2 linked regions of the Rhinolophus ferrumequinum genome follow. The protein of the gene in region 2 purifies or fractionates together with the protein of the main gene of each other region. This does not show direct contact. Links are inferred from orthologs where the notes say so. Each region holds a gene or a part of one and is shown on either strand. Other genes may lie near its edges. The genes, in order: METTL9 and SLC30A2.

Region 1 (16,872 bases), on a different chromosome or scaffold from region 2:
CTCCAGGGGGCAGAGGGTCAGAAACGAAGAGAAACAAGTAACGGGATTATGAGTTTGGCCAGGACCTTACATGAGCGGCCACTTTGCTCCTGCAGTCCCCCGCCCGCCCCCCCGCCGGAGTTTCCTCTGAGACAACCCAGCTTAAATGAGAAGCTGGCGAGCTGGCTGCACGGGGCGGCCTGTCTGTGGGCTCCCGCGCCGCCAAGCAGGTGAGTTCTCTGAACGTGCGCTCCTCACGGACCCCAGAAGCAAGGTGCGCGGGCAAGAAGCAAGCACGGGGCTTGTGAAATGCTCGCACTAAGGGCTGTGTGCCAGCTGCACGGGAGGCTGGCTCCTGGGCTGGAGGCCACCGTGTCTGCAAAGGCCTCGGCTTACCACCTTCCTTGAAAGCTCACTCAAACGTGGTTCCATCGAAGTAAGTAAGGACATCGCGTAAACAACGAACCCTCATCAACCCCGAGTCTCGCCCCTGGTGCCAGCTGCTGGTGCCAAGGATAAAGCAGGATGTGATCACGAAACATTACGTCTTTAAAGAACGGCAGCAAGAGCAAGGCCCTCCCCATGTGCAACAGGACTGAGAAGACACTGATAATTAGCCAAGTCATAAACGGCCCAATCAGGAAGCGACAGAGCCCTGAACGTGCTGGACGGGAGTGGCTAACCAGTGATGAAGGACCAGGTCATCTCTTCCAGATTTCATTACACCCCTTAGCATGTCCTGGTCTTTACAGAACCTTGGCTGATGAATCACCCCCTCAAAGAATAAAATGTATGTGCGTATCAGACTCAGGGATACAGTTAAAAGCTTTTCTGAAGTTATTTTCCTCAACGAGTCAAACATTAGCTGTAAGACATTTATTCCAAAATAGTAGAAAGGATTTGAGCACATCAGTAGAATTAGAAAGTTATTTCTAAAATCCAACTTCCTGATTTTAGGTAATATAGTGTAATAAAAAATAAATATTTGTCTTTATCCGGGTTCCAGGCACAGGGCCCCTAACTCCTCGTAAGTGATAAGAGTAACTTCTACACGTTAATGAGACACGGATGAAAGTTTCAGCCCACCTTCCAACCTCCAGCGAGGGGCTAGGGGCTGCAGACTGAGTCATCACCAAAAGCCAATGATTTCATTGCGCTTAATTATGAAACTTCCACAAACCTCCTAAACAGGGTTCTGGAAGCTTCCATGCTGCTGAGCACACTGATGTGCTGGGAGGGCGGTACCTGGAGAGGGCATAGAAGCTACGTGCCACCCTGGCTCTGGCATCTCCTTCTGTTTGCTTGTTCCTGAGTTGTACCTTTACAATAACCAGTCAACATAAATCAAGTGTTTCCCTAAACTCTATGTGAGTTGTTCTAGAAAATGACCTCACCTGAGGGGGAGGGGAACCCCAGAATTTGTAGCCAAGTCAGACAAAGCACAGGTGGTCTGTGACCGCGACTAGACTGGCTAGCATCGGAAGTCAGGGCGGTCTGTGGGGCCGAACCCTTAAACCTGTGGACTGACGCTAACTCACTCCAGTAGGTAAGTGTCACAATAGAACTAAACGGCAGGACACCCAGCGGGTGTCAGAGAACTGGAGGATCAGTTGGTGTCAGGAAAAAAAGACACATAGATAAGATTTGTTTTGGTTTTTTTTACGACATTAAACTTGATGAAGCACATGTACAAGCTGGAGGGGGGCCAGCGCCAGGAGCAGTTGTCCCAACCTGTTCAACTCAAACTGCAAAAATTCCAACTGGTGTTTCTGCTCGCCGCTATACGCCGTCCACACGGGCCCCACGAGTGGGGCAGTTTCGTTTCACAGCCCCTCAGACGACATGTTTCTCAGGAGGGACATCACGAAGCAGTGGCAAAGCAGACAGACCGGGATTCAAAACCCAACATGTCATCCATGAGCTGTGCTCTTGAGCTAGTTTCATCTCTCTCGGCCTCCACCTTCTGTCTGTAAAATGGGGGTGTACCACCTACCCCCCAGAGTGGTCATGAGGATGAGAGGGGATAATGTATTTCAAGTGCCTGGCACACAACAGAAGCCTTGTAACTAGATCTCCTTCCTCTTCCTGTCCAAGATGCACAAAAGCTGGTGAGAGGAAAAGTGAAGTTCAAGGGACTGTCTAAAACCACACTGTCAGGCGGGGCAGCCAGCCATTCTCACAAGCAGTGAGCGATCAAATGTGACTAAAATCCATCAGAAAGGCTCCACTGACGGGGTCCATGAGCCAGAACCTTCTCTCCTCCAGGGGATGGTCAGGCCAGGCCCAATGACACACCTCGACAGCCAAAGACTGAAAGATCGCACTCCAAGTTTCTGCAATGCAATCAACTCAGTCCACACATTTCACCATCGGCCCCTGCGGGCATCTAAGCCCAGCACAGGAATAGGTTGTCCACCCATTCATTATGTTTCGACTAATAATACGGAGCTAACCCAACAACCTCTTCAGGTGAGATTTCAATGTGTACGGTGACAAGGCACCTCAGGTCCATGCAAGGGAACAATTTATACAGATTAGATTCAGTTGCTTCGGATTTGATTTCATAAATAAATTACTAGCTATCTTCCTTTCGAATGTTCACTGTTAGTATTTTATAATCCTGACATGTGAACAAAGCTTCAGAGGATCTAAACAAGTCTTTTCGGGAAGTTACCATCTTGTTTAACACAAACTGCAAACTTCAGCTAGTGTTTTCAAGATCAATGTCCACACAGAGTTGGCTTCCCAAGGCCTCCTAGGCCACCTTCAAAGGGGCGCAGAAAAGGCCCCTGGTGTGTCCAGCAGATGACAGATCCTAGTGTTCCAAAAACGGAAGCAAACACTTGTTTAGGGTTTTCAGCACAGGTTCTGAGGAAGGAAAGAAGCCCTTTTCAAAATCTCTTTGCTAAGCGGCTGCAAAGGCCGCCAGACTCTCGAATCGGTTCAGAGGACACGAATCCGTCAGTGTTTGGCTGGCTAGCTGGGTGAGTGCCCCGAGCACTGTTAACTCATGCCTGACTTTGGTCTGCCCCCACAGGTACATGGGAAGTCAGGGGACAGGAGACCCAATCTGTCCTTTAGCACAACTTTTGACCTCTGGCTGTGAGGTCCAAGGATTTCTTCATTTGGAAAAAATACCCAAACCATTTCAATTCTGTCCTGAATCCATCATCGCATTTGGCATAGCACAGTTCTTCTATAAGAAGGTGAAAAAATAAGTCAGGATACATACACACAATTGCAATTTTAAGGTACACCTTCACAATTCCGAACATTGAATGTTATCTGCGGTTGTAAAACACCTTGCTGTATGTCATCTGGTGCAAGTGTCCTGGCTTGGTTCTAGGGAGTTCTATAACAATTCTTTTCAGTCCATCACCTGAGAAGCTGCTGAATGACTGATATTACCAGGAACTTAGTGGGGCCTGAGGGTCCCTTCCAGTTTCAGTAGCTCTGTAATAGTTGCATTAACTTTAAGTACCAGGTGCAATGCATCGAAAAGACTAGATCTAAAGTTTCTCCTCGTTTCAAGTTCAGTCTGCCAATACTGAAAAGTGACATAACTAGTTTCTCCCCAGTGAGTCAATCTACCCACCTTGCAACCTGTGATTAAGAACCTGCTGATTAAGGAAGCTGCAAGTTTTCTCTGGGGAAAAACTTTTTCCTGGAAAGGATCAGATAGTAAATATTTGAGGCGTGCAAGTCACAACGTAGCAACTACTACTCTGCTTACTTTTAGCCCAGAAGCATTCACAAACAGGCAAATGAATGTGGTGGCTGTGTGCCAATAAAACTTTATTTGTGGACACTGAAATTTGAATTTCACATAAGAAACTTTCCCGTGTTACAAAACATCCTATTTTTTGTAACCATTTAAAAATATAGCTTACTTCACAGGTTGTGCAAAAAAGTCAGTGATCCAATTTGGCCTGCAAGCCAACCCCGCCCCCCCCTTCCCTGCTTCTCGGCTTGCCCCAAGTGAAACATAATCTCAGTTTTGAAGCTAGCATACCAAACCGAGTTATTGCAGTGGTGCTGCTACTATAGTTTCAGAGCTGCTTTAGCTCAAAGAAGCCTTGCATCTCTGGGCTACAGTAACTAAATAGCAATTGTTAATGAAGAAACATTGCCCAAGTGCTGGAGGATTCTTTTAACCATAGAATCCTCCATCATAATTTCTTAATAAAATAACCATAAGGAAAGCTTGTGCTAAGTATGGTTCAATCAAATCCATAACCTTACTTTCATGCAACTCCAAAAGAACCAGATGTGGCTGGCTATGGAACTCACATACCCAAATGAACACCAGAAGACCTTGTATAAAACTATTAATTTGAAGGGGGGAGAACCATTAGAGTTGAGTTACTTCACAAGCAACCAAGTTTATAAAGCAAATCCAGGATCCTGGAACATAAAGCAGAGAAGACAGTCTCCTGTTTCATTTAACCTCACTGTGGTTTGCATACATATTTCTTTTGTTCATTTTAAGCTTTGTTTGTGAACAACATTTTCATAATGTGAATGTATCATCTCGAAATAAAGTCGGGAATGATCATTCTAAGGAAAAGATCTATTCTCCTTCTCAATATTCAGAAAACACCGGTTTACTCTTCCACCTTGGAGAAATTAGGTGCCAAATTGTTAGTGCCACTGGTTAAAACACAGACACACACTCCTGAGTATCTCCAAAGCATAATGAAGTAAATGAGGTATCCAAAACCAGCACCAGTTTTCCTTAGAACCTGACAGATGATGCAGCTTTAAAAGGTACAACATTAGAAAGTAGCCTTTGTTACAAGGAGATATTCTGAGGCTACATCTATAGCTATAGTTCCACCTAGGTTCCATAAAAATCAAAGGAAACGGTTTTTTGATTTTTAACATTCGTCCCATTTTATGAGCAACGAAACATATCCAGTCTGTTGCAGTAGAGGTGGTCACAAGTGTTAGAATAAACACCAACAGCTAAAACCTTCAACCATAATTCCACATCAGTGGAAATCAGCCTTGTTTTTATCCTATCCGGGACCTTATTTCAACCAACTGCTGAAAGTGACATTTTTAATTCACTGTTTTACACCATTACCCATGTTTCATACGGATATATGACATTTTGGTAACTGTTCGTCATCACTACAGTAGAGCTGTTTACCTAAAAAGACTAATGTAAGTAATTAATCCATAGCAAAGAACGTGGTTTCGCAACTTAAAATCACCTAACAATATCATAGGAATTGCCACAGCTGTGGGACTACCAAAAAAAAAAAAAAAATCATGGAAATTTATGATTTCCTTTACAAACAGAAAACGGGCCATTATAAATATTTGCTAACTGAAAACTAAATGCTACTTTCCTGAATGAATTGCTTTCCGCCCCTTGGATAATTCCTTCCTTTCATTTAAACACACACACACACACACACACACACACACACACACACAAAGACAACGTGGGTGTAAAGTCTCTGAACCCCCAGCATAACAAGAAAAGCCACACAGGAGAAAACGAGAAGTCTACGAAAACGATGAGACACAAAATGGGGAATAAATGGAAAGGCAAAATGTACTGTAAATGCTACTATAAGCCAACACTATAGACTTCAACAGCGTGTCTTTTCAACGCATGTCACGTGTGAGCTGCAAACTACCTGGTGGTCAAACAGGACACCTCTCACTCTTCATTCCACAGCTGACCTGCACGTACTTCTTTAAACGGCACAAAACCAAGCTAATAAAAAAAAAAAAAAAAAAAAAAAAAAGAAAAAAAAAAAAAAAAAAGACGACCCAGCCGGTCCCATCGCATCAACTGCAACTCTTGAAACATTTCCTTCCTGCCCAGTTCCGGTGTGAAAACCCTGCCAGTTCCGAGCTGGCGCCCATCACCTCCCTCCCTTCTCACCACCCCTTTCGGGTCGGGCACCAACATCCAAGTTGGAAGCCGAGGTCCCGGGCCGGGTGGGACGCGAGCGACGACCTGTCAAACGCCTGTTCTAAGGGCGGCGGGGACATGTCACCTGAAGGAGCCCGGGGCGCTGAGCGGCGGCGGGCGGTGCACGGCCACGTTCCTTTATGACCCTTTGTACGACCGCGGACTGCTCCAGACAAAAAGCGGGGCCGGCCTCGCGGGGGCACGGGGCGTGCGCGGGGCGACGGGCTGGGCCTGGGCGGTGCTCCCCGAGGCCCGGCGCCCGCCGCGCGCCCACGGGCCCCCACGGTCCCCGGGCCCCGAGGGGGCCGCACGTCTGCAGCCACCGCCTGGGACGCGGGAACAATGCGGGCTCCGGGGCGCCCACGCTCCGGCCCGCGCCGGGGACACGGGAGGCCGCGGCCGCCGCGCCGGGAACAAAAGGCGCCGCGGGGCCCGGGCCGAGCGCCCGGCCCGGGAAACTTCGCGAGGCGCCGCGGCCCGCCGCCCCCACGCCGGCGGCCGCGCGAGGGAAGGCCCGGCCGCCACGCCCCCGCCCCCGCCCGCGGCCCGCTCCGTACCTGGTGGTTCTCCTTCCTGCCGCCCGCGGCGGCCGCCGGCCCGCCGGGGCCGCTCGTCATGTTCACGTACAGGGAGCGCGTGAGCGGGCTCCGCAGCGTCCACATCCTCCGCGCCAGCCACACGGACGCCAGGCTCAGGCACAGCCAGCCCGCCAGCAGTCTCATCAGGGACCGCGGCCGCTCGCTCCGATCACCGCCGGCGCCGCGGCGAGGAGCGGGAGACGCCGCCGCCTCCGGCCGCCGCCACCCGGGCCCGAGCCATCGCGCCCAACTTGCCCATCCAGCCCCTGCAGGGCCGAGGCGGGGGTGGGGAGGGGCGGGCGGCGCGCGGCCTTCCCGCCTCCCCCTTCCTTTCCGCCCGCGGAACGCCGCCAGCGGCGGCGCGGGTTTCCACCCGGAGCACGTACGAGCGGCGGTGGGGCGCGTTCTCGCCGGGGCGCGCTCCCCTCCACCCAATCAGCGGGTCGGGCCGGCCGGGAGGCGGGGCCGAGGGAGCGCGCATTCGCCTGGCGCGCGCGGCCCAGCCTCTCCTCGGCCCCGAGCTCCGCGTAATGGCGGCGATGATGGTAATTTTTTTAGGCTCCCTTCCGAAGGCGGTAATTGGAGCCTCCCGGTCCCTCCACCGTGGTGGCCGCGGGAATTCTGGGGTTGGCTCGCCTTAGTGATCGGCTCTGGGCCGCTCATCCCAACCCCGGCCGGACTTGAACCCTGCTGTGCCCATTGGTCCGGGGCAGAGGCGGCGGCGGCGCATTCCTTTCCTAGGACCAGACAATCAGACTGAGTCCTTGCGGGAGACGGACGCTGCCCGCTCGTCGCCGTTCCTGGCTTAGCTGCGTGGCTTCCTATTTACGTTCAGAGCCAACAAGCCAGACCCTCACCCCGGGGGCCTCCAGCCTGCTTTGCAGGCAGGCATCTGGGGGCGGAGGGCAGACCACCGCGTCCCGTTCCCCAAGCCAGGCCAGTTGCAGGCGACTGGTTTCTAAGAGGCCTCAGTGAAAGCTCTGCCTTTGTTGGAAGCTACTGCAGCTGGCGCACCTGTAGGTCATGCTTTGACGTCCTGATGACCCTGTCCAAGAATGAAGGAAGACCCCAAACTGGAGTCCCTGGCTGCTTGTTTCCTGGAACGAACAGGCGGAAGTTGGGCACGACACTCTTAAAGCCAACTAAGAGCTGGTATTTACCCGGATGTGTCTTTAATCATTTATAGCTCGGGGAGACCTAGTAGCAACATTCCAAACCTGAAGGGTTACACTGTGTTCCTGTGTCTGAAGTTCTTCCTGCTGCTACCCAAGCTGCAACCAAGGAGTAACATGTTTCATGGGTTCTCGAAGTTGAACACCTTCCTCGATTTGCTTAGAGAATGCTTTGGATTTAACTGCTCTAGAAATACTGTATATACATTTTATCTTAGTTCAAAAGAAACCTGTTAACGCCAACGTTGCATTTCAGAGGCTGTCATTTATACATCCACTGATGCGGAACAAAATCATTCCTTACCCACAGACGTTTTTATTAGATTCAGAGAATCTCAGCTTGGCACCTATCTATCGCTAACAGAGACATCCTGTTGCCTAATGCTACGTAGGCTATTAAGAAAGGGGGAGGGTACTTTGCGTTCTCTTCCACTATACTCTGGGACTGCTTCCTGCCAAAACCCCAAAGAGCTTGCACCTTACTAAATCTAATTCAAACCTCTCGTGATCCTGGCCCAAATCATCAAAAAGGATCTATGGTAGGACGTCCAAATACCTCAGTTTGTTTACCATGTCTCCTCTCCCTCCTGTCTCTTGGGATCAGTGTCACAGATAAAGCAGCTCTGTGCCAAAAGAAACCCTTCATCTTTTAGACAGGGGTGAAAGCAGCAAGAGCATATAAAATGACATATTTCGTTTCTGAAAACAAAAGGTAATGCCCCCCACTCTAAGCCTGATGAGCTGCAGCTCAGAGTCTGCAAATTGTGTCAGATGAGCAAGAAGCAACTAGATGGCTCTGGAGTCTGAAGGACAGGGTCAGGTGACTGCCAAGGAGCCCAGCATCTCAAAAAGAGCAGATTTTCACTTCTCACCTGAGCAGCGCTCCTGGAAGAATAAATCATTTCCATATTATCATACTCTATAATAATCACAAAATACTCCAACACATGTTATTTACACCCAGCAAGCACAGGAAGAAACCAAAGCACAGCGTGACCAAATGATTTGCCTAAAAGTAGCAGAGCAAATTCAATAGCAGACCTTTTCAAAGAAACCGGTATCCCAGCTCATGGTCCTTCGATCCATCTGAGAAGCCTCGCTGTCCTTCTCTTCTCAGAGAGCCTCCTGAATTACAAATGAGGAGGAAGGAAAAACAGCAAGAGTAAATATACTAAGCAGAAGTTCAGATTGCCCTCCGGGACTGCCCCTTTCCTTCATCTACTAGAATGTCACTACTGTATATTAAAACCTCAATTATCCATCACGGACAGGGGAAGAGGCACAGATCACACACACACACACACACACACACACACAAATATGAGTCAATATCCTTTCTAATGTGGCTTTGAAATGTAGGCAGTGACATTCAAAAGACAACGTAACTACCATTCTCTCTGCTGAGTTTTCTGTTCACTGCCCTACTGACCAGGAGCTTGGGTGTCCAGCTTGGGTCACAGCTCTGTGCATAGGCCCAAAATCTTGTCGGATCACTTACCTACCTAGATTTCAAGAAAGGGCACTTTTGCTGTGACTGTTCTTATCGACTACAAATTACGGCATTTTCATGTTTTTGATTACAAAGTCTAGTGTATAGAGAACCCACTTGGGAGAGCGACTTGGTTCTGTAGAGGGCACAAAGTGTGCCGGTCACTATTGGTCATTTGTCATCTCCCTGAAGAGATACTAGTCTAAAAAGAACTCATATAATCACCTGTTTTCATGGACTTGCATGTTTTAATACTTCTTAACAATGTTTTGTAGAGTGTCAGAGAAAGGTACAAACTTTCCTCAATATATTCAATGGAGGTGCCCTCCAATGGACAGGCCACATCAACAAAATAAAATTAGTAAATGTATTCAATACGTTTTTAAAATTAGTAAATGTAGGGGATTTTTAACTGGACTTCGTTGATATAATTTCAATCATGCAAAGACATCACAATGGTCTCTGACTGATACATTCTAAGCTAAGGTGGAACTGCAAACAGGTTTTTAAAAAATGGCAAAATAAAGCAGCAAAATTGAACAAGAAGTGGGAATACCTAGTGGTTCATCCTCTGTGCTCCTGAGACAGACAACCTGGGTTTGAAGCCTGGCTCTACGCCTCCTGCTTAAGCAATTTGTGGCAAATGACTTCTAGGTCTCAGTCTCCCCATCTGTAAAATGGGAGTGATAATAATGGTTACCTATCTTGTGGGGATGTGTAGAGGATTAAATGATATGTTCTAAATACAGAGGGCCCCAACACAGAGTAAGCTCTCCAAAAAAACGTTCACTTGTTCTTGTTTGTACTGTAACTTGGGTAAATCGACGTCTTCTGAACCTCCCTTTCCTCAGCTATACACTGAGGGCCATGGTTCTGAGCGGACTACTTCACATTGTGTCTCTGAGACACAGATGATCTGAAAGCTTCCTCAACTGTAGAAACATCAACCAAGGTTATCGCAATAGGGAGACTCAGTTCTAATGTGACAGTGAGCTCTGCAAAGCTGCTGTTCCATGAAACATCCCCATAGAGGCCAGTGATAACAGCTCCTCATGACGGGTCGGTTCCCAGACCCCTTCCTGAAAGTTGGAACCGAGGGAGTGAGGATGGTTGTGGGGGAAGGGAACCTAAAACAAAACAATGAAACTTTCAAACCTAAAGTCACAAAATCCGGCAGCAAACTCAAGCCACCTCCTTGTCAGGGGTGCCTGTCTTTCTGGAGGTAACCAGAACTCTCCCCAGATGGCCCATTTGTCTGCATCTGTGCCAGCCACAGAATTGCACCCGCTTGAAAGCTTCTGACCCCCGCGCTCTCCCTCCCATGGCAATGTCATACCTGTTTCAGTTTATGTCAGGAATAACATCAGAAAGACAAAGAAATACCACATTCACACAGTCAATAAATATTTATTGAGTCCCGTGCCATACACCAGCTGCTGGACTAAATAGAATGGAAAGCGTAATCAACACAATGTGTCACCTTCACACCCGCTGTCTAGTAGGGAGGCAGACCCGTCCAAGCAATCACAAAATGAACACACAATTACAACTGCTAAGTGCTAGGAACTGTATACAGTTAGGAGAACTTAGAGCAGAGCGAGCTGACCTAACTGGGTCAGGAAAGGCTGCCCCGAGGACGTGTGGCTTTGTGGCCCTCGTTTTGACATCGTGCTAAGCTGGAGAGCTTCCGAGTTGCCCAAGTTCCTCTGGACTGCAGTGACCCCTCCCCAGGCTGCTTTCAAACAGCGGGCGTGGTTGTTACGATGGAACCACAAGGCTCAGAGGAAACGTGTCTGTTCTCTTTGCACAAGCTGCTGAAGTCGTCCCCGAGCTCAGGGCCAGCGTCCACTTTAAACTTCACGTCCCACAAGACAAATTCCACTAAGGAAAGTCCTGCAGCCTAACACTCAACTAGATCCCCGACTCCAGCAAACAAATCAGTTTCTTCATGATCTCAAGGTTGAGGGGTCAGAAATCTTTTAATTCCATCTAACCGATGGTGGTACAACTCGAGTCAAACAAGAGTCGTATGCAGTGTCTTCAGCAAACTTGCTCTTCCCATGGAAACCCCCACCCTGGGCCTCAGTTTCTTTACTTTAAAACCAGCCACCTGTGTGCTTCCGTTGTGCCTGTACGCGACTGCTTCTAGGATCCTTAAAAGAAATGGGAACATAGAATAGTGTAAGCCTCTTCAAGGGATATGTGGGTTTTTAACATACACATTTCAACTCCGCAAGGTCCTCCTAGTAGCAGGTCTGAGTCAGAGCTCTGATGAGAGAGAGGAGGCTGTTGTTTTCGTTAACTTTCTGGGGCATTTTCAAAGGTTCAAAGATCTTCTTTCATCTTGTTTTAAGTGTATTTTCAAAACATCCCTGTCCTTGGCCGCTTAATTGCTGTCTCCTGCATGTATGTGGGTTTGGCCTCATGAATGGCTGCTTCCTCTCCACCACTGTAAATCACAGAAACCATGCCACTGTGTTTTCATAGACTTATTTTGAGACTATAAAGCCTTCTTTTGTGACTATAAAACATTCAACTTTATGGTTTTTATGAAATACATGAAGAAATGTGCACGGCACGATGAGCAAGCTTTGGAAACAAAATACAAACATGTTATGGACAGGGCGCATATGTTCGTACATACACATAAGCGACCTTAAAGAGTTTGTGTAACTGACCACAGAAGCACTTCTCTGCTGAACTATCTTATTTTTGCACAACCACAGACTGGTCTGAGAATAAGGAAGATGTTTATGAAAGAAGATACTGGGGCAATCAACCAACCCGAAAATCAGGCCGAATGATCTCCCTGCCCTGCTGAAAACTGTGATTGATTTTTTAACAGCCACAACTCGTGTGAGTGCGTTTTACAACTTAGCCCAGCATCTGCCGGAAACTTATGGCGTGCCCAAATCATTCAATCCAGGCAAAAGGCGCTTGGCTGTTAGATAACCAAAACCTCAGCACGGTGAGACCCCTGCCGTTGTTTCTTCTCCACTCATGGTCTCCCCTTACCAAACATCCTTTGTTCCAAATGGACAAAGTCAATATTGAAAGCGGCTATTAAGCTATTCCACAATAGAGACGTTGTTTGGAAGTTCACTAGCTTTCTATGCTCAAGTCTTTTGAAAAACTGGTTGAGATATGACAGGGGCCGATATTAGGTTGGCAGCTTTGCCTGTACCATGAAGACTTTTCTCTTCCGCCAGTGGAACTCAGATTCCACCTTCCTCCTCCTGCCTCCCAGGCCAGGCCAGCAGGGTGGGGGTGGGGGTGGGGGTAGGGGTGCTGTCTGTGCTCAGAACTTCACTCAAGTGTAGTTTGGTATTTGTGAATATAGAGCAGGCTCTTCTCCCTCCAGCAAAAGTCCACTTTCTAACCCAAACTATACATGACACTGGAGCCAAACTTGCTGCTTTTCAGACATCTCACAATTTTAAACCAATTGCCTTAGGTTTCTGCTTTTGTAAGGAGACATGTCTACAGATACTTTTTCCCACATCTACAGTCACCGTGACTGTCCAACGGAACGAGTCTTCAGAAAAAAGCAAAAAACAAAACCTAAGTTGTCCCTGTAGGGCTTGACAGCTCAATGGATTCATTCATTTCCAGACTCTCAGACATGCTGACTGATTCGCAGACTAGAGTTTCTACATTACTGAACTGTAAGCAGCAGCAATATTCGTGGGCATATTTTCATCCTGACACACGGTGAATCACGTCACACTGGAGGACAGCTAACTCTTGTTAGTTACTCTCTTATCCTATTTAGAACTTATATCTGTATCAGAAATATGTTATATTTTCGACACATCTGTTTAAGGATGTTTGAAGAAAAAGAAATTTAAGTCAGGTCTTTTTGATGTGGTAGGCAGTACATGGAGTCGATGATAAAATTGCCATAAAAACTTTTGAAAATAAGGAAATCAAATTGCTTTCTGAGGATCACACTTTTTAAAAGCATGCGTATAATGGATAAGAACAAAGAGATACAAAGTCACTTTGAAAAAAGGCAGGTCCCCAAGCCAAGACTTGAGTGCAAGTTGACTGAAGGAAGCTGATCCCAGATCTATAGAAATAACGGCTCATTGCGGGTGGAGGGTGGGAAGAGCTGGGTCAGCTCTGAAAACCTAAGCAACGGACAGGCAGGCTGACTGGGTAGCGGCTTTCCATCCCCAGCCCCGGAGACGGTACCCTGGCCCCCTCCGCTCAAGGCAGCCTGTGTCTATGCGGATGAAGGTGGGCGCATCCATTGTATCAAGGCTCCATGACGTCAGCCATTGGCGTCATCCTAAATCGCCATGTCCCTCATTCCATCCCTTCTATGCCAGCAAAACCTCAGAAGATGGACGGATGCACATCACGCTCCGTGTGGGAACTGAAGACGACCGGCCAGCCTTCCTTCACCCAGCTATCAGACCTCACTGGGCAGAACAGTGCACTGGATAGAAATGAGGCTTTCCCAGTGGGCCTGTGGGTCTCTTCCAAGGTCGCTGCACCCACCACACTCCCGGTCCCTGCGCCCCATGTCAGTTTACCCAGCCCTCATCTTTACCATCCAAAACAGGGTGAGCGTTTGCACCAGCAGGCAGGAAAACCAAAGTCTAGTTACAGCCATGATATTTTCCACGTGACCTTGGAAAACCACATGACCTCACTATTTTGTCTGTGAAAATGGTAATTAATAAAGGCCACAGGTACGAAACGTAATGGATTTGGACCAGACGCTTAAAGCCCCTTCCAGTTGTAGCATCTGTTCCTTCACCTGCTTACTTTCTTTCGTGAATTATGAATTCTGTGGAATTTTTCCCCCCGTGGGCTAAGAAAAACATATCTGTACTTGCACAGTACACAAGACAAGTGGCATAATTTCTGTGTCGCCCCACACCCTGTAAAAACAAATCTCACAAATTCAGAGTTCCGTAACTCACCATAAAATAGGACATAATTCACCACAGATAGTACAAACCTGCGACCAAAGTTTGTGAGTGGAGACATCTATTGTTTCGAGAGTTGGGTGCTTGACACATTGTCAGCACCTTATGACCCGAAACCAAACTCCTCGCCTTTCTTACTCCCCCATATTCATCACCCTCCCCATTATCGCCACCTGCTGGTCACAGCGGGAGGCTGGCCCAATCCCCTGGGAAGCACCTGAGAGGACAAGCACTCTAGAAATGAAAACAGCCCTGGTTCTACCCCATGAAAGTCTAGATCGGGGTCACAACCTCACTCTTGCTGAAAAAGCGCCTCCTTCAACAGCACTGCACGGGTACCACACATGCCACTAACGGCGGCACATATGAGGTGCCAGACATCGCAGTAAGTGGTCACCAAGGGTCACCTTTCTAAATCCTCTTTACAATCTATGAGGCTGATGCCTGTGTGTGTGTGTGTGTGTGTGTGTGTATAAATAAAATACACAGAGGGGGCCAAAAAAATGTATACACGTTTTAAGAAAGGAAAAAACTGTATTAATATATACCAATAACAAAAGAATACAAGGCACATTTGACTTCTGCAATGACAAAAGGTGCTCAAAGTGGTTCCCATCAGCGTCCAGACACTTCTGATGACGGCGAACTACTGCTGGAGCAACGCTGACCAAAGTGTTAACATCTCTTAAAATGTGTACCTTTTTTTGGCACCCTCGGTATATATACACTATATAACTATATATAACTATAACTATATATATATATACACACACACACACACTATATATATTTTATATATATATATATATATATATATATATATGTATGTATTGTTTGTTTGTTTGTTTGCTTTGTTTTTTACAGCACAACCCAAGGCAGAGAAGCTCCCTCCCACCGCAGAGTAACGACTGAGGCAGACGTTTGGAGCAGACAGACTGCAGAGCCCGCGGTCTTCACACAACGCTCTACTGCCTCCTAGCGTTCAGCCGCAGCCTGAGTCGCCGGTGGCGCTGGGTGGAGAGCAGCCAGCCTCCTGGGCCGGCCCTGGTGCACTCACCGGAATCTTGTGTCAACAGGGAGTTGTGAACGTGGCCCCCCATGGAGAAGACAGAGCAGGGGTTCCTCGCAGAGGCAATCTGTACTCAAATTGAAAATATTCAAGTCTTGAAATTATTTTTTCACGACGTAGTTCCTTTTATGAAAGTGTTGAGATAACCTAAGAGAAGGAAATGGCATGTCTAAATAGCAAGTCCACTGGCATTTGTGTAATTACTTCAGGACAACCTTCCAAAACTAAAATGAAAACAATGGTCTGTACACTTTTTTGAGTCAGGTAATTCACCCTCGGCAGTGTACAGGTCAAGAGTTTTGACAGATAATGGTGACGCAGTATCACAAATGAGGGGAATAACGGACGTCTCACTAATAAAATCAGTCCAAGCAGCAACATGAGGCTTAAAAAGATACGAGCGTGTGGCGTGCCCAGCCAGGTGGGCTCCGGGAAACCCAAAGCCACTCCTGCAACTGCAGGGTGAAGTGACAGGTCGTGTCCAGGCCACAAGACCACTGGGGAACAGCCACGAGAGGCCTCAACTCCTATTTCACTTCCTTCTTATGTAGTCCACAAACCCTAAAACACGTCAGATTTCTTTTGTTGTTTTGTTTGTGTTGTTTTCCAAACAAGTCAGAGGTTATCGAGAACCGTTTTGCCTTCGGGTACAACGTAAACTCTAAGAAAAGGCAAACTATGGAAGTTCTGTCTGAATCCCGGGACGGCCGGCACTTACCTCAGGGACCCCGTGGGGTCCGTCCCGTCCCTGATTGAGAACGGCCTCCAAACCAGAACCTGAATGACTGCCGTGCCCAGTGGGACCAGGCAAATCAAACCAAATCAAACATAGCATCGCAAAGATCTACAATTGTCCTGGGGGAAAAGAACATGTGAAACATGGTTAGTTTTTCCAGTGGTTTCTTTTCTTACTAATTCAAAACTACATAACAAAAGGTTTCAGCAAAGTTTTGCCATGTATTGAACCCATTTAAAAAGTAGGAGAAATTTTATCATACAATTTTGATTCTTTCTAACAAGTGAGGAAACCCTACCTCCTACCTGTTCCGACCAGAGGAGAGTGACAAAGCCTGGTGAGCTGCAGCCACAGTGCACGGGAGGGGACGGAGCAGCGCCCCAATGTGTACACATAAACATCTATGCACTCATAAGAGTTTGGTCTCCAAAATTACGCTCCGGCGGGTTTTATGCAAACAGAGACCTAGGCCCTCACTGTTAGTACTCGGCTGACTTCCATTCAACACACTTGGAGGTTACAAGAGGAAACCAGGGGCAATGACTCTATTCCCACGGAGCTGTCCTGTTGTTCTGCCAAGAACTTCCGTGAAGCCAAAGATTCCGAGTGTTCTCAATATTATTATATGCTCCATTACGGAATGGAGGTTTCTGTTTCCTGCCAAGTATCCACTGATGACGCTGTCATGCAACACATACACTGGCAGACTTTGACCACTGGAAAAAACCTTTCCATTCCAGAACGTTCTCTCCTGCAGCAGGATTGCGGCAAGAATGTCAGGGCGGTGCGCTGCATCCGAGGGACAAGCTCATGGTCCTCCTGCCCCGTGTGCTTTCCTCCACCCTGGACTTAGCTCCCTGGACAGGGCTTTCCAGCTGCCCCACCACGTAAACTCCCCAGGGCAGGAAGGTGTCCTGCCTCAGGACTACATGTCTCTGTTCCCAGCTCAGGGCTAACACCTCTCAGGTACTCCATCAATGTGT
Region 2 (16,121 bases):
GCATGGGGCCAGGTTCAAAGCATGGGCACTGCAAGCGTCTGGGGTCCTCTAGACCCATCAGGGACGTCCCAGGCTTCTGGCTGCCTCTCTCCCACACCCTACCCGGAGGGTCCCCACCACTCACCAATGGCAATGTGGACAGACAGCATGGGCTGGGCCACAGTCAGCGCCCAGATATGCAGGCTGTGCAAGGCTTCCACCCCCTCCACGGACAGCAGCAAATCCCGCACAGCTGTGAAGTCCACGCCTTTGGGCGTCCCTGAGGACGGCAGGGATGGGGCTGAAGGAAACTGCTCCCTTCCACCCGTGCTGGTTCCTGCTCCTCGAATGTCATCTCAGAGAAGACCTTCTTGGCCAGCAGATGTGATGTTTCCCCCATCTCCCAAACGAGCCCCATCGTATCACTTTGTTGTTGTTTTCCTCTCCACACTTAACACTGTCTGAAGTTATCTCACTTGTTAGTTTTCTGTCTGTCTCCCCCTCTAAAACGGCAACTCCACATGAGAGCAGGACAGCCTGTTTTCTTTACCATCCTATCCCCCTCAGTGCCCAGAACAGTGCCCAGACATAACAGGAGCTCAATAAAAAAGGTTTTGTGGGGTTTTTGGGAATGAAAAGAAGGGCAGCTGGAGATCCCTGCACCCACATGGGGCATCCTGACCATCACTTTTATCTGAGTCAGTCACATTCTTGGAGGAAAAACTCTGACCTGCAGCTGGACACTCCTGCTGACCCCAGACCAGAATCCAGGCTGACCCTGCCCACACAGAGACCCATGACCCAAGACCCTGGAGCACAAGAAAGCCAGGTGAATGAGTGTGGTAACTCAGAGCAGATTATTCACCACTACCTGGCACCCCTCGAAGCCCAGCCACCAGGGCTTTGGAAAAAAAGGCCTGAGCTGGAGTGGATTCGGCAGCCCTGTCCAACACCAACTGTCTTTTTCTGAGCTTCAGTCTGCCCGCCTCCCTTCCGCAATGGGAAGCATATCTTCACCCCTCACTCTGCCTGAGGGGAAGCAAATGGAGACAGAGGAAGTGTATGGGGAAGGGCTGAAGTGCCAGGTGCTGCAAATACCACCCAGGAGCCAAGTGACTAGTCAAGGAGGACACCCAGCAGGGAGGAGGCACCCTTGGGCCTAGGGGGAAGGGAAGGCATGGTCCAGGGGACATTTCCAGGAATGGCCATACCTGAGGGCCCAGCTTGATGCCAAGATTTGCCTGGGGCCCCAGGAGGTTCTCCAGCCTATGCCAGGCTCCAGAGCCTGGCTCCCCATCAATGTGCTGGGATTCGACCCCTACGCCCACCCCTGGAACTTCAATAGAGCAGGAGAGCCAAGAGCAAAAAGGGAGCCCAAACCCAGTTACCTTCCATCAGCACCAGGATCACGTCTCTCAGGATGGTCAAGGTTGTCCCCAGGACCAGGATGGAGAAAAGGAAGGTGCAGATGGGGTCTACGTACTTGTACTCTGGCTACAGGAAAAAGGGAAGGCAGAGCTGGGGTTCAACACCTATACATCAGCTTCTGTTCTCCCTTCCCACCTCGCACTGTCAGGAAGAGGGGCTCTTGGCGGGGTGGACATGAGTCTTACCCTAGCCCTGCCTCCCAGCTTATTCCATGCCCGGAAAGGCAGGCAGGACAGACCACAGTTCAGGATAAGGCATAGTTCCTTCCCACCCCTCCTTGACCAAGGGGCTGAGGCATGGACAGAGCTAAGTGGAATCTTACACAACATCTAGTCCAATGTCCCCATTTTACCAGAAATTAAGGCTCCGTTAGAGCAAGGGACTCACTCCACATCACACAGCTAGCAAGGACTGGAGCCAGACTTCACCCTCAACCCTCGGCTCTTTCAAATACACCACACTGCCTCTCTGTGCCGGGCAATGCCCAGGCTTCGGCAGCACAGAGTGCTGGGTTTGAATCTGGCTCCACAACTTACCAGCTGTGTGACACAGTGCAGGTCACTGAGCGTTTTCTGAGCTGCGAAAAACACCAGTACAGGGTTGTTGTGAGGATCAGAAATTGGATAAATGTTCCTTCCCTCTCCCCACGCTTTCTTTTGCCCAGAGATGGGAGGGAGCTAGAATCTAGAAGGGGTCCTGTGCGGAAGGAGCCCCCAGACGATCTATATTCTTCTGCCCATCCCCCCCTTCCAGCCCACCTCTCTCTGTCCCCAGCTCTGACCTTAAAGTATAAAATATAGGCTGCCACCAGGACACCCAAGCTCTGCAGCAAGTCTCCAATCACGTGGATAAAGGCAGCTCGAACACTGGGGTTCTCCTGCTGCTGGCTGGGGTTGTGGCTGTTTCCATGGCTGTGGCTGTGCCCGTGGCCAGACTGGTGAAGAGTCAACCCCATTCTACAGAAGTGGAGACAAAGCTAAGGGGCTCACTGAGGTAGCAGGTAGAGACCACCCATTAGGTCTGGCCAATCTGTGGAGCAAAAATCCCAACCCCCAGACTGCCGATCCCTTTGGCCATGTGAGGAGCCTGACCCACATGGCATTGGCTTAGAGTGCCACAGGACAAAGGGTTCACCTCCAATGCCAGGCTGAGTCTGGGCTCAAAAATGCCCCAGTGCCAAATCTCAGAGCACGAGGGTACCATGGAGGTTATCATTTCCCCCACCATGTCACAGATGGGGAAGCTGAGGCCTAGAGAGGGCAGTGGCTTGCCCAAGGCCACTGAGCAAGGGACAAAGAACCCAAATGAGACCGATGCTCTGTATACCCTGCCTCTCTCTGACACCAATTTCAGGCACATCAGCTGGAAAAAGGACTTGTGTTCTGCCCCTAGGGACATCTGCTCCTGCAAGAACTAGACTCACCCCTCCCCACTTCAGATAGGAAGCCTCCCAGGTTATTCACTGATATGTATCTGGGAGCAGGGGTGGAGTTGATGCTGCCCCAGACTTACAGCTCCCGATGGCCTTGGCCTTAGGCAGGATCCAGGTGTTCCAGGTGCCAGAGCTCAGACCATCAGGGAAACTCTCCCGGTAGCCTGTACTGGTGTGGCCTGGCCGGCATCCACCAAGATCAAGCACAAGTACGCATGTGAGAAGCGGGAGGAGGGAGGACGCACTCACATGATGTTTATGGCCACAGCACAGCCTGCTGTTATCAGCATAGTGTCCCCTTCGATCTCATAGTCCCCAGAGATCAGCCGCTCCACTGCCAGGTACACCAGTACCCCAGTCACGACCCAGATGGACAGCACGGAGAGTAGGGCTCCCAGGATCTCTGAGGAAGAACCCACCCCAACACCAATCTTACCATGGCGCCCTAAGGCTGAGGAGATCTCTCTTTCCCTCCAGTACCCCCACTCCCACCCCTCAAAGTCAGGGCCTGGGTCTGAATGGGCTCTGCTGAACGTGTAGCTGGCATGGTTGTACCCTGTCGTGCCACTCATACCTCTGACAATGTCAGAGCTAGAAGGTACTTAAGAAGTCACATGGGTCAAACCTTTTTGTTTTACATGCAAAGAAACTGACTTATTAAAATATATACTATTGCTCAGCAGGCAAACTGAAGCTTCTGAGGAGGAGAGGAAGGGCCGTCTCCCACCAAGACGAAAATGAGAATGTAACCCAGAGATGAACTAAAGAGGGTTTACATCCTATTTCTTCAGCCAAGAAGGCGTGGCTGAGCTTTCCTGCCCCTCAAGCTGATACATGGAGTTACGTGCAGAGTTAATGCCATAGTCATTTATTCTTGAAGTTTGCCACTTCATTTCTTAGGAAGGTGAACTCTTCTTCCCTGTAGACTAGGAGTTCCCCGAGGACAGAAGCCAAAGTTGACATGTTCTTCCCACACCCAAGCCACCCTCCTGGTCTCACTCAGGGACCCACCACCATTGCAGCCACCTTAGAACCCATGTCTTAACCCACCCCTCTCCCAATCCCACCCCCATCCAGACCAGTGCTCTCACCAGCTCGCTGCCAGCCGAAGTTCATGGTCTTGGTGGCCGGCCGGGAAGACATCCAGAGGGAGAAGAGGCTGATGAGCATGCTGGCAAAGTCAGTGAGCAGATGGGCTGCGTCGGTCATGATAGCCAAGCTATGTGCTAGGTACCCACCTGCAGGGGCAGTACCAGGAGGGTGGAGGGTCCTTATCAGCTCTCCAAGAAGCCAACTTCCCAGACTGTGTGTGTAGCAGGGAAACCATGGACTCTGGAGAAAGATACAGGAACCGGGACCTCTCCACCCATTCACTGTGTAACCATGGGCAAGTGATTTACTTTCTCTGTACCTCAACTTAAACAGGACTAACAATATCTACTTAGAAGGCGAATGTGAAAAATCAAGTTCAAATAGGGCCTGGAAAGCATAGCAGGCATTCAGTAAATGTTCTTTCCTTCTAGGCATTTAGGTCTTCCCTTACCTACTAATTGTGTGTGATCTTGGGCAAATTACTTGATGTGCCACTTTCATCATCTGTAAAATCAGGAGACTGACAGCACCCATATGATAGCACAAGGTTGTTGTGCGTATTGCATAAGATAGGTGCATATAAAAGACTTAGCATAGGGAATATAGTCAATAATACTGTAATAACAGATGGTGTCAGATGGTACCAGACTTATCAGGGTGACTACTTCATAAGGTATGTTTAATCACTATATTGTATACCTGAAACTAATATAATATTGTATGTCAATGGTAATTGAAAAAATTAAATTTTTCTCAATTAAATTTTTTTAATTAATTAAAAATTTTTTTAATTTAAAATTAATCTTTTTTTAAACACAGCATAGTGAAAGTCTGATAAATGGGGCTATAGTATGGTTGACCCTTGAGCAACATGGGTTTGAACTGCACCTGTCCACTTATTCCTAGATCTTTTTCAGTAAGTACAGTGGGCTCTTCATATCTGCAGGTTTGGAATCTGCAGATTCAACCAACTCCCCGATGAGAAAGAGTAATTCCACATTCCCAACTGTGGAAGGAAAATACCGTTTTCCATTCACATTGGTTGAATCTGCAGATGCAAAGGGTGGACTATAGCTAAGTTTTGGGGGAGTCAAAAGTTACATGTGGATTTTGCACTGTGTGAGTCGGTGACCCTAATCCCCCACGCTGTTCAAGTGTCAACTGTATTAATGTTACTGGCTTACATTACAGGGGAAAAGTCTTTTAGATCATCCAGACTATCTACAAGCCAATTTCATTTAATTAGCACAAAAGTCCTTACCAACTACTTCCCCAATCATGAACACCAGGCAGATGGCAGAGGCCACATAAAGCTGACGACGGGCCCGCTCCTTCTTGGGGTCACAGTGACTGCCAGGACTCTTCTGAGTGTGACAGTAATGATTGCTCTCCACAGCCAGCTCAATGGCTGGCAAATCCACGCCAGGTGGAGGCAGAGAAACCCAGCCAGCCCCATCCTGCCACAGAGATCCCGTATAAGAACTGGCCAGAGAAGAAGAGAAAGAGGAGACTCAGCTCTGAGATGGAGGCAAGGAGAGTTGACTCCACTCCTAGCTCTCTGTGGGGCCTTGGAGGTCCCATGTGTCCAATTAGGAGAAGAGATAAGGGTGCTCCAAGCTCGAAGTCCCTGAGGAGTGACCAGAAGCTTGTGTTCGCAGGTGGGTACTAGGGGAATGACCAGTCTGCAGGAGTCTAGGGGTACTGGCCCAGGTGTTCTTTCCTGCCCCATCCCTCCCAGGGCCTGGAGGAGACAAAGACCTTGGGAACTGGCCAAGGGGCGGGGCGGTCCACCCGAGCGCGGAGAAGGAACAGAGCTCTGGCTCGGGAAGATGGACAAACCCCCATCTCGCGCACCTGGGGACACAGGGCCTCCGAGGCCCGGGCTGCCCCGGGGGCAAAGTGCCTGGCCGGGGGCGGGGCTCTAGGCTTCTCACTCCAGACAGGCTGGCAAGGGTCAGGCAGGATCTGTACGTGAGGGAGTGATGATCCCGGTGCCAAGCTGGATTTCCCCTTTCCCCTTCTCCTCCCCTCCTGTGTGGTCTCAGTTCAAGCCGCCACACAGCCACCCAAACCATCCCAGGATAGCAAACGAGGTGCGTCTGATGCTGCTCAAATTCTCGCCCTTCCCCACACTTTCGCCTTACCGGGCTCCGCGCCTGGCGTCCAACAAATGTTGCTTATCCGTGGCCTTCATGCGGCCCCGCGCGCCGGGAGCTAGGTCGGGAAGCGGCGCGCGGACGCCCGGTGAAGTGAGTCCCGGAAGTGGCGCTCGGGACACTCGGGGGCGCGGACTCACCTGCGGGGTGAGCTCCGCGCGCCGTGCCCGTCGTCCTACTCGCTCCCCCAGCCCACCTCTCCGCCTCGCGCCTGCTCGGGCCCCGGCCGCGCTGGGGTCGCCTTGGGATCGTCCGGCTCCAGTCCCCGCTTTGCGCGCAGAGCGCTCCCGCCTCTCCGCGTCCCGCGTCTGCCCGCTTTATCTCGCCCTCGCCACCCCGTGTGAAGCGGCCCGCCGCGCGTCGTGTGCAAAAGCCCGCGGGGTATGGGGAGGAGGTGGCCGGCTGCAATGGATGCTCCGAAGCTGCCCCAGAGCACCAGTCCCATGCACCCTGGGGCCCGGGGATCCCATCTGGCTTGTAAGGAAAAGCCTAACTGCTTCCACTGAGTTAGGACTGGGCTTTGGCTGCGTTCGCTGTCCCCCGCCCGGGGCTGGCAGCGTCCCACCAAGAAGTTCTTGGACCTTGGTTTGTAGAAATCCGCTTTGGGCCCCTGGAGGGCAGGAATGTGGCTCCTGAGGCTAGGGTTGTGTCTTCCCCACAGGCTGGAGATTCCTGGGAATTTGGTCGGTTTCCACCCTCAGGCTGCAGCCGCCTAAGGTCGGTTGTGTTCGGCTCTGGCAGGGGGCTCCTGGGGGCGGGGCCTGCCTCTCCTCGGGCCGAGGCTGTGGCCCTCTTTAGGACTGACTAGTTGGAACTGCCCGATCCATTTTGCCACGGAAACAACGCCAGTTTCTCACCTGCGCGCTCCGATTAGAATCTGGGGTGACCGGCTTTATCTCCACCCCCTACATAGGACAGTGTCGCGCTTCAGCAGCAGTCTCCATCTGGGCAAAGCTCACACCACCACCATCCCTTCTCCCCTGGCCCCGCAGCAGCTCACAGGAGCCCCAGCAAGGTGCCAGGCGTGGTGTCCCGCGGGGAGAAGCTGGCCAGTCCTTTGTACCGGCTTCGTAGCCCACTCTCTGGAAGCTAAGTCCTTCCACAGGGGTTTTCAGGGGTCCCCGACGCTGGCCTCTGATAGGTGCACTGTATATAGAAAGCACTTTGGGTTGGTGACCTCCCTAGCAAATCACCCCATCATCCCCAACGCCCTTGGTCGGGCGGCCACGGCTTGGGTATGGCCCCTTACAGAGACAAGAGCACACACCACTGGTGACCAGGAGGGACTCCTTGAATCTGTCCCCCAAACAAGAGTCATCTTGTTAGGAGACTAAGTGCGAGGAGTAATGGTGGCAGCGGCACACGTGCCTGAAATTTAGCTTCTCCATTTCTGGACTCTAAGTGTGGAAAACCTTGACCTCAGGCTGCCTGGCTTTCCTGGTATAGTCTAAGGACCAAGAGACTCAGTACTACCTGGAGAAAGTGTGAAAATGCAGGTGCCAGCTCCCTGCATTTGGGTGCGGAGCCTGAGAATCTGCATATTTACAAGATTCTCCAGGGATTTCTGTACAGGAAAGTTTGAGGACCTCTGCGTAAAGTCTTGCAGGTCATCTCAGATACGCCCCTTTAGATTATAAGCTCTTTGAGAGCAGGGATGTATTTTGTACTTCTATTACATTTTGATCCAGCTCTGAGCACCTACGGGGCGCTTAATTACATACCTGTGAATTGGCGTGAAATAAAGATGCGTACAAATATCAGGCTGGTCACTCATCAGATGAGAGTAAGTGACGCAGGTGCAGCTCACAGGAATTTCTTGTTGGGCCATCTCAGTTGTGTGGAGTTTCAAACTGCCCTGTGCACAGATGAATAAATATTGTAAATTATTTGAAGGCAAAACATTATGCTTTTAAAAAGTGCATCTTATATGTCCTTCTTGTTCCCTCTAATGCAAGGCACATTGTAAATTTTCAATAAACGCAAATTTACAAATCGGATCCAGATACATACACATTTTATAAAACCTTTTATGCCAGATTTCCTTCAAATTAATACTTTCCCATCATGCATTTTAATTGTAAGAGTTTGACTAATTATTCAAGACTTTGATATACTGAAAACTGCCAGGTCCACTTGTATTATATACCAGGGTCTGGCAGAGATTCCTAAGAGGTCCTATGTGAATGACCCAGCAGTTCTCAGACCCCAACATTACCTAAGGAATCTCATTTTTAAAATATAGATTCCCTTACTCTATAACCGGAGTCTGATTCTGTAGGTCTGGGGTGGGGTCTGAGAATCTATATTTTTAAGACCTCTGTTTGACGCTATTGTGGAATTATTGTTCATTTTTTTATAGTATAGTGGCTATGATTTTAAAAAGAATCTTTAAAGTATTGAAGGATAAAATGACATGATATCTGGGATTTGCCTTAAAATAATCCCAGTGGGGGAAGTGACTAATAAGGGTAGAGAAGAAATAATTTTGTCAATAACTGTTGAAATTGAGTGATGGGTATAGAAGGTACATTATATGAGTACTATTCCCTCTACTTTTCCATGTGTTTGAAATTTTCCAGAATTAAACATTTAAAGAAAAGTAAGCCTTCTTTGGTGACTCTAATGCAGCAGCCTATGGAACTGTATTCAGATTCATCGGAATAACTTCTTTGGAGCCAGTTTTCTCTCATGCAGCATGATCTTTTTCTTTTTTTAAATTGGGGAATATTGGGGAACAGTGTGTTTTTCCAGGACCCATCAGCTCCATGTCAAGTTGTTGTTTTTTAATCTAGTTGTGGAGGGCATAGCTCACTGGCCCATGTGGGACTCGAACCTGCGACCTTGGTGTTATTGCTCTAACCACTGAGCAAACCGGCCACCCCATGCAGCATGATCTTAAAGGAAGCTTGTTTTTTTTAAAAAAGATTTTATTGGGGAAGGGGACTTTATTTGGGAACAGTGTGTGCTTCCAGGACTTTTTCCAAGTGAAGTTGTTGCCCTTTCAATCTTAGTTGTGGAGGGCGCAGCTCAGCTCCAGGTCCAGTTGCCTTTGTTAGTTGCAGGAGTCGCAGCCCACCATCCTTTGTGGGAGTCCAACCAGCAACCTTGCGGTTCAACCGTCTGAGCCACTGGGCCGGCCGCCTGATCAAGCACTCTTCATACCACCCTTTTGTGTTCTGGTTTGCAAAGACAGGCAGAGCCTTTCATGTAGCAAAGTAGAGATCCTTTTATTTGCAATTAACAGATATCTTCCTGGAATTTAAATTTTAACTGACTACGGAGCCTTGACTGTCCTCCTGCCTCCCTCTGCTAACTGACAGATAGTAGATGGACATGCCTGTCTCTGATGGAATCAGTAACCTGGAGAAATCTGGAGATAGAATGTAGCTAGATTCGTAATACTGATTCTTGTGATTTGAAGGTGATAAAAGCCTCTTGCTTTCTGGCCTCAAATTCCTTCAATTTTCTATGGGATGATACTTTAGAAGATAAAACTATAAAGAAAAGCAAGTGTGTTATTATTAAAAAGGACAGGATGGTGGCTACCTCCATGCGGAAGGAGAAGTTATGATGGGAGGGGGTACCTGGAGGGCTTCTGGGGGCTGGGAATGTCCTTTCTCTTGACCTGCATGGTAACAGCACAAGATTTCATTTTACAATAATTTATTAAGCTTTACAACTAGTTTTGTACACTTGTGTGTAACATTACATTTTTTTCCCAATGCTTCAGAACTGGAGAAAGGAATAGAAATGACAGCAAAATCTGACTCCTTGAAATTCAAGGTTAGGGACTGAGTTAGCCTTGGAAAAACTCCCAGAAGGAAAAATGGGCAGAGGTGTGAGGGTTTAAAGCACTTTCATAAAGTGAGTTGTTTTACAGAACTCCAGTTGTTCTAGAAGATGTCACGTATTAAGATGTCATGTATCAGGCAGTATTCCAAACACCATAAATTTGAAGCACCAGTCATTGTCTGAAGTTAAATAGCTTTCTTTATGGCAGGATTTCTCAGAGCCCTTAACTTGCTACTGTGTACTGAATGTCAAAAAGGTGGGACAGACTCTGCAGTGTTTCTTAAATTTATAGGTCCAAGGTGTCTCAGACCCAATTAATGCACCATCTCCAATTTACTCAGCTTCATCTCTCTCCCAGCCCCTTGGCCCCTGGTTCATGGAAAGCCTTGGTGCTACTTTGGCCTTGGTTATTGCCTCATCCCCTAGCACTTGACGGATGTCTTGGCCTTCCCAGGAGTAAGTGTGGGCTCCAGCAGAGTCTCCACTGTGCCCACTGCAGAGGGGCCAGCAGCAGATCCAGCATCCATGCCCAACCCAACTGGACCATGGAAGCTCTATTCCTCCAACCACCTGCAGAGCCAATTGATTTTGTGCCATCTAGCTTAGCTTCCCCAGCAGCTGCCCGAAGAGGCCAAGTGATACAACCTGGAAATGCAAGGGAATTAAAGCCCTGGGAGACAAACCTCAATCCTGAGACAAGAGATAAAAGGAGCCAACAGACAAAATTCTCTCCCTTCTTCTCTCTGATGAACTGACTGCTTTGAATCAGTTGTGTTCTTTATGACCTGCTAGAAACATCTCACATGACTGAGCAAGCAGCCGGGTGTCTGGTGAAGCTGTGGCCAGCTCAATAATGCTACACTTTCTATTGGCTTCCCTCCTTTTCTGCCTTGCTTCCACTTTTCTTCACCTTGGCTGCCCTGGGGTTGTACCTCGATTAAAACATTTAGGCTTTGCCTCAGGCTCTGTTTTCTGGAGAACCAAAGAACCAGGGGCATTAAACCTGCGTCTTGAAGATCATCTCAGGGCCAGGTTTCCATGGAGCCCTCATTGGGAAATGCTGGTTTAAAGAGGTCCTTCTTAGGTGGGACCAGCCTTGCCATTACTTACCGTCTCCCTCCTGTCACACACTTCCTATCAGGCCACTGTCCTGCCACCCTGAACTCTTCCGAAAAAAAAAGGCTGAATGAAACCCCAACTCCTTTGGTAATAACAGGAAGAGAGCGCTGTGCATTTATTAAAACAACATATAACACAAACTCAGTTGCTATCCCCTATGTCAGGGATGGGCATTGAAATACAGTACGTTATCCCTTCCAGGCTTGTGAGGGCTACCCAGCTCTCCCAGTGAGGAAAGGAAGTGGGCAGCTCGACCAACCTGGCTTCCTTCTCCTCTGTCTAACAATCTCCAGTCACACAATGACCAGGCATTATCATACAAAAGTTCCTTTACAAAAAGCACCAAAATGGCATACATATACAAGTATATACAAAAATCACATTTTAAAAATGTACAAAATATTCCATTTTGCACCAACGTAGAAAAGTGTCCTGTGTGGTTGTTTCAAGCATTTTTCCAACTCTGTTTCAGTGACTGCTGGACACAGCGGTGGGGGCCCTACTCCTAGTCCCCTGCTCTCTGAGCAAAGAGAAGACACACCTCCCATTGCCCCTCCAGGGGCCCCGACCCCTCCCACCCTGGGCCTGTCACCAAGGCAGCTGGGCCCATCCCCACCCTCCCCAGTCTCTCTGCATCTAGAGAGTCTCTTCCTCATCCGGCTTCTTACTGATGTCCTGGAAAAGAAAAAAAAGACAAAGAAGCAAAAGGTGAGGGACTCAGGGACCCAGTGCCTACCAAGCTGCAGTGACAAAATTATCAAATTCCAATTCCTGCCTGGCTGCTTCCTTTCAAACCAACATAGAATTTAGTTACCACAGCACTGTGGATTGCACATCCAATACACAGCTCCAAAAGTCCACTCTGTATATTTCAGGATTGGAATTTAGTTCCAATAATAACTTGACTTGAAAAATAATAGCACTAGGAAATGTTTGCTAATTAGGAAACAAGTCCTTCCTACGTGCCAGACACTGTGTTAAGTGATTATTTAATTTCCTCTCCACCATAAACGTTTGTGGTCAGTACTATTTTGCCCCCGTGCATAGGTAAGGAGCCCAAGATTCAGAAAAGTGAACTGCTCCAGATGACAGCAATAGTCTGTGATAAAGCTGCAATTCAGAACTCTTAACTATACTCTGGCAGGTTGGCCAACTCAGATGCCTACAGGGGCCAGCAGATGACGTGAATTTGGAAAGCAGGCAGGCTGACAGTGGTGGGTCTGAGCAAACTGGCAAGTACACGTCCCATCCAAAAGGGGCAGCCACTGCCCAGCACCGGCTCTCTGGGACGAGGAAGAAGGGCAAGCTCAGCATTGTTAGCTCTTTCCAAATTTTCACAAGAAGGTGGAAATCCAGATTCTTAGTTGAAATCTCCTTTTTAAAAAAAAATCCTTCGAAAAATCTAACTTAAAAAATGTTGGAAACTAATTTCTAAAAATTTAAACATTGTGCTGGCCAAACAAAACACCTCAGTGGACCAAGCCTGGCTCATGAGTGTCGTGTGTTTTATTTCTGTTACTCTGTATTACTTTCCATATAGGAAGGTCATTTAGATATAAAATGGGAGCGTTTTATCACGAATAGCTTGGATTGTTTTTTTCTCTAAAGGTAAAGGGAGCAGGTCTTTAACCTTAAAAGGTTTAGAACACATATTGGGAACAACATCACATACTGGCACCCTCCCCAATGTCCTTTGCACATAATCAGCGTCTCCTGAGGTTGAATGAATGAATGAACGAATGAAAGCATGGAGGTAGACGGATTTCTTACCTTCTTCCTTCCCCTCCGTGGACTCTTCCTCTTCCTGACCTTCTTCAATGAACTCTTCTTCTTCCTCATCTGTGTGTGACAAAGAACAATAGTGTTAGGATGGGCCGGCTTCTCCAAGGAGCTGCTCAAAGGGGAACCAGGCTGGAGACAGCACTGATCCAAATACTCCAACGCCCAGCCGAGTCCACCGGCCATGCAGGGACATCACTTGCCCAGGAGGTGATGGGCTTGTCAAACCCCAACTGTACAGAAGCGGGCTTCCTCCTTCTTCAGCCCTCCCTTTCCTTCCACCCGCCCCTCCCCCCAAGGGAGAGAGGTTCAAAGGCTCTTTTTGTTCCAGTAGCAGCAGTGGCATCTATTATCTGATCTGCCTGTGACCAGAGGGGACTTTGAGAGGCACACAGGCTTCTGCCTACCTCTCGATAGACAACTACCACCTGTGGAGATGGGACAAGAACGCCTGGATTCTCAGGGACCAGACTCCTGTCTTGAAGAAATTTGCCCAGCCTTTGAAATGTGTTTGCCTAGCACTGCCTGCCCACTTTTCCTCTTTCCTCAGCCCACAGAGGGGTGGGGTGCACTTCTGGGGCCACCTGCTCCTTAGCTCTCTGAAGCTGAGCCCCAGACAGACCATGACTGAGCTGCAACCTGTGTCCTCGCTTCACCTCCAGGGATATCACCTTCCAGTTCTGCTAACAGGAAATGTGTCACCCAACCCCTCTCCCAAGCGGCCTTTTTAATCCTCTGGGGCCTTGAGGGAGTCGCCACAGAATCAGAGCATGTGTCGGGAGTTTCTGAGGAGAGGCTTGAAAGAATTCATGCCTCCAAAATGATAGCCCAAATTCCAGCCAGCTAGCTGGGATCCGTGCATAACCCAGGGAGTTTTGTTGCTGTTGTTTAATCATGATCGCAGTTAACTACTCATAGCAGCGTTTGCTGAGGACTTACTATGTACCAAGTGTTGTGCTAAGCACCAGACACTCATTGTCTCCTACAATCCTCACAAGAGTCTTGTGAGCCAGATGGCCCTCAGTGGCATCAGCGAGGGCTCCACTAGCTGCGTGGCCTCCTGCAGACCTCTCAGCCTGCTGTGGCTTTATTTCCCCAAGTACACAATGGAGATGACAACAGAAACTACCTCTTGAAGTTGTCTTAAATTATAGAATTTATGTCAAGGGTTTAGTGCCTGGGACATAGAAAGTGCTCGATAAATGGTAGCTGTTGGTTCTCTCACCATTTTCCTATGAGGAAACTGAGGCTGAGGGAGATTCTGGAAGGCAGTGCTGGTCATCACCACGTCATACTGTTCACACAGTATTATCCACTCTAGACTATCTTAGCTTTGGGAAGGTAACCGTGGAGCAGGTGATCTACAGCAACGGTTATACCCAAGTCTGCTGGCATCTCAGCTTTGGGACGCATTTTGTCCTCACCCACGAATGGGGTACATCTGCGGCTCAGAGAATAGATGTAACACTAGATTCTGCAAGCTTGCGGGACAGCCGACAAAAACAGGGGTCACGAAGCTTTTCTGTCTCACGCCAGCCCATATACAGTTCTTCCCTCTTCCCGCACACCTTTCTCTCTCTGTCCTGGTCATTGGAGCAACACCTATCAGAACAGTGCAAAACTGGATCCACCCTCTCTTTCTCTGTTGCTAAATAGCTACCTTTCAACTGTGACCTTGAGCAAATTATTAACATCTTCGCTCTTCATCCAGTCTCCTCATTTTCCCTTAATATTTCCCCCTTAAAGTTGTTTTGGATACATTGCTACAATTATTATAAGTACTTTATGGAAGAGTAATTATAAACACAAATGTGGATATGGTATAGACAAATTAAGGTGCCTGAGTATCACAGATGATCACATTAAGAAGCTGAAGCTGGGCCGGCCCGGTTGCTCAGGCAGTTGGAGCTCCATGCTCCTAACTCTGAAGGCTGCGGGTTCGATTCCCACATGGGCCAGTGGACTCTCAACCACAAGGTTGCCAGTTCGATTCCTTGAGTCCCGCAAGGGATAGTGGGCAGCGCCCCCTGCAACTATCAACAGCAACTGGACCTGGAGCTGAGCTGTGCCCTCCACAACTAAGATTGAAAGGACAACAACTTGACTTGGAAAAAAGTCCTGGAAGCACACACTGTTCCCCAATAAAGTCCTGTTCTCCTTCCCCAATAAAATCTTTAAAAAAAAAAAAAAAAAAAAAGAAGCTGAAGCTAAGACTAGCTTTGAGCACTAACTAGTATGTGCCTAGTACTTTACAAACTCTTCTGTATCAATACCTTAGTTGTTGCAACGGTACCGTGAGGTGGTCACTATTATTGACCCTCTTTTAACCAAATTTTTAAAGTTAGAAAATGAAGTTCAGAAAGGTGGAGGGACTCACCAACGGTCACACAGATAACAAGTGGCAGATCTGGGATTCTAACTTAGATATGCCGGACTCTAGACACCGTGCTTTTCCTACTGCCCCCAGACGCCTCCCTTCAGTGGAGCAACGCATAATTTATTGAGCAACAATTATGTACCAGGCACTATACTAGGCTCTGGGCTCAGAAGTTGGCTGTATGCGCATGAATGCTATCTGGGCATCTTTGCTAGTATATCTGCCTCCACACCTGGCTCAGTGGGAGGCAAACCAATTTCCAGGGTAAAGCGGGGAAACAGACAAATGGCACCACCACCTGCTTTACCTGTCCCAAAGTCGATGGCCCTCAGGGTGTCTGCTATGTACTCTAAGTCCAAAGTAAAGTAGTCCATGTTTTCAAAGCCCTGCTCTGTCTTCCCCAGCTGGCAACCCTTGGATGCTTCCACAATGCTGTGGGGGAGGGAGAGAGAGAGACGGAGAAGGGCAGGGTGAGATCTCTGGGGCTCAGTGCAGGGAGCAGCTGTCTTAGCTCCAGCTCACACCAGTGCACATGCGTGTGCCCCCACCCAGGCCTTGCACCTAGAGTTTCCCCCTGGAGGAGTGGAGTATTTCCTCTCCAGTCACAAGTACAATGGATGGTCCAAGGAAACAAGGGATGCAAAGGCCAGGAAATCCAGCCTGAGCTGAGTGGAGACCCTCCCAACAGCCCGAATGCAAAGAAGGAGACCCACTAGACAGAGGCCCTGGTGGAAGCGAGGGCCTTGGATCACAGCCCTGGGAGACACTGACCTTTTGATGAGTTGCTTGGCACTCTGTAGGGGAGAGAAAGCAAAGGGTTAGGAGTATGTGAGGGGCAGCCCCAGGAAATCAGCACAACTAATGACTAGGTGCTGCAGGTGGGCACTTGGTGCGGTGCCCTAGTCCAGTTGTAACCTGTTCCCCACGCTGAGCTGAGCAGAACTTGGATCTTTTCCCTCGGTCCATG

Evidence for each region.
Region 1: the proteins of SLC30A2 (region 2) and METTL9 purify together in Homo sapiens (co-immunoprecipitation; 3 studies listed by BioGRID and IntAct, with this or other methods). This does not show direct contact. The link is inferred for Rhinolophus ferrumequinum from reciprocal best matches to the Homo sapiens genes SLC30A2 and METTL9.

The regions. Positions count from the first base shown.
Region 1 is NW_022680357.1:16,850,085-16,866,956, reverse strand, and holds the start of METTL9 (protein-L-histidine N-pros-methyltransferase), read right to left. Parts: upstream 6,794-16,872; 5' UTR 6,631-6,793; coding exon 6,466-6,630; intron 1-6,465. UniProt on the Homo sapiens protein: Protein-histidine N-methyltransferase that specifically catalyzes 1-methylhistidine (pros-methylhistidine) methylation of target proteins.
Region 2 is NC_046292.1:17,838,292-17,854,412, forward strand, and holds the start of SLC30A2 (proton-coupled zinc antiporter SLC30A2), read right to left. Parts: upstream 6,923-16,121; 5' UTR 6,126-6,922; coding exon 6,076-6,125; intron 5,414-6,075; coding exon 5,193-5,413; intron 4,078-5,192; coding exon 3,931-4,077; intron 3,243-3,930; coding exon 3,089-3,242; intron 2,364-3,088; coding exon 2,189-2,363; intron 1,474-2,188; coding exon 1,368-1,473; intron 260-1,367; coding exon 125-259; intron 1-124. Other genes in the region: E3 ubiquitin-protein ligase TRIM63, read right to left, coding at 11,663-11,673, 12,769-12,837, 15,462-15,586, 15,926-15,948.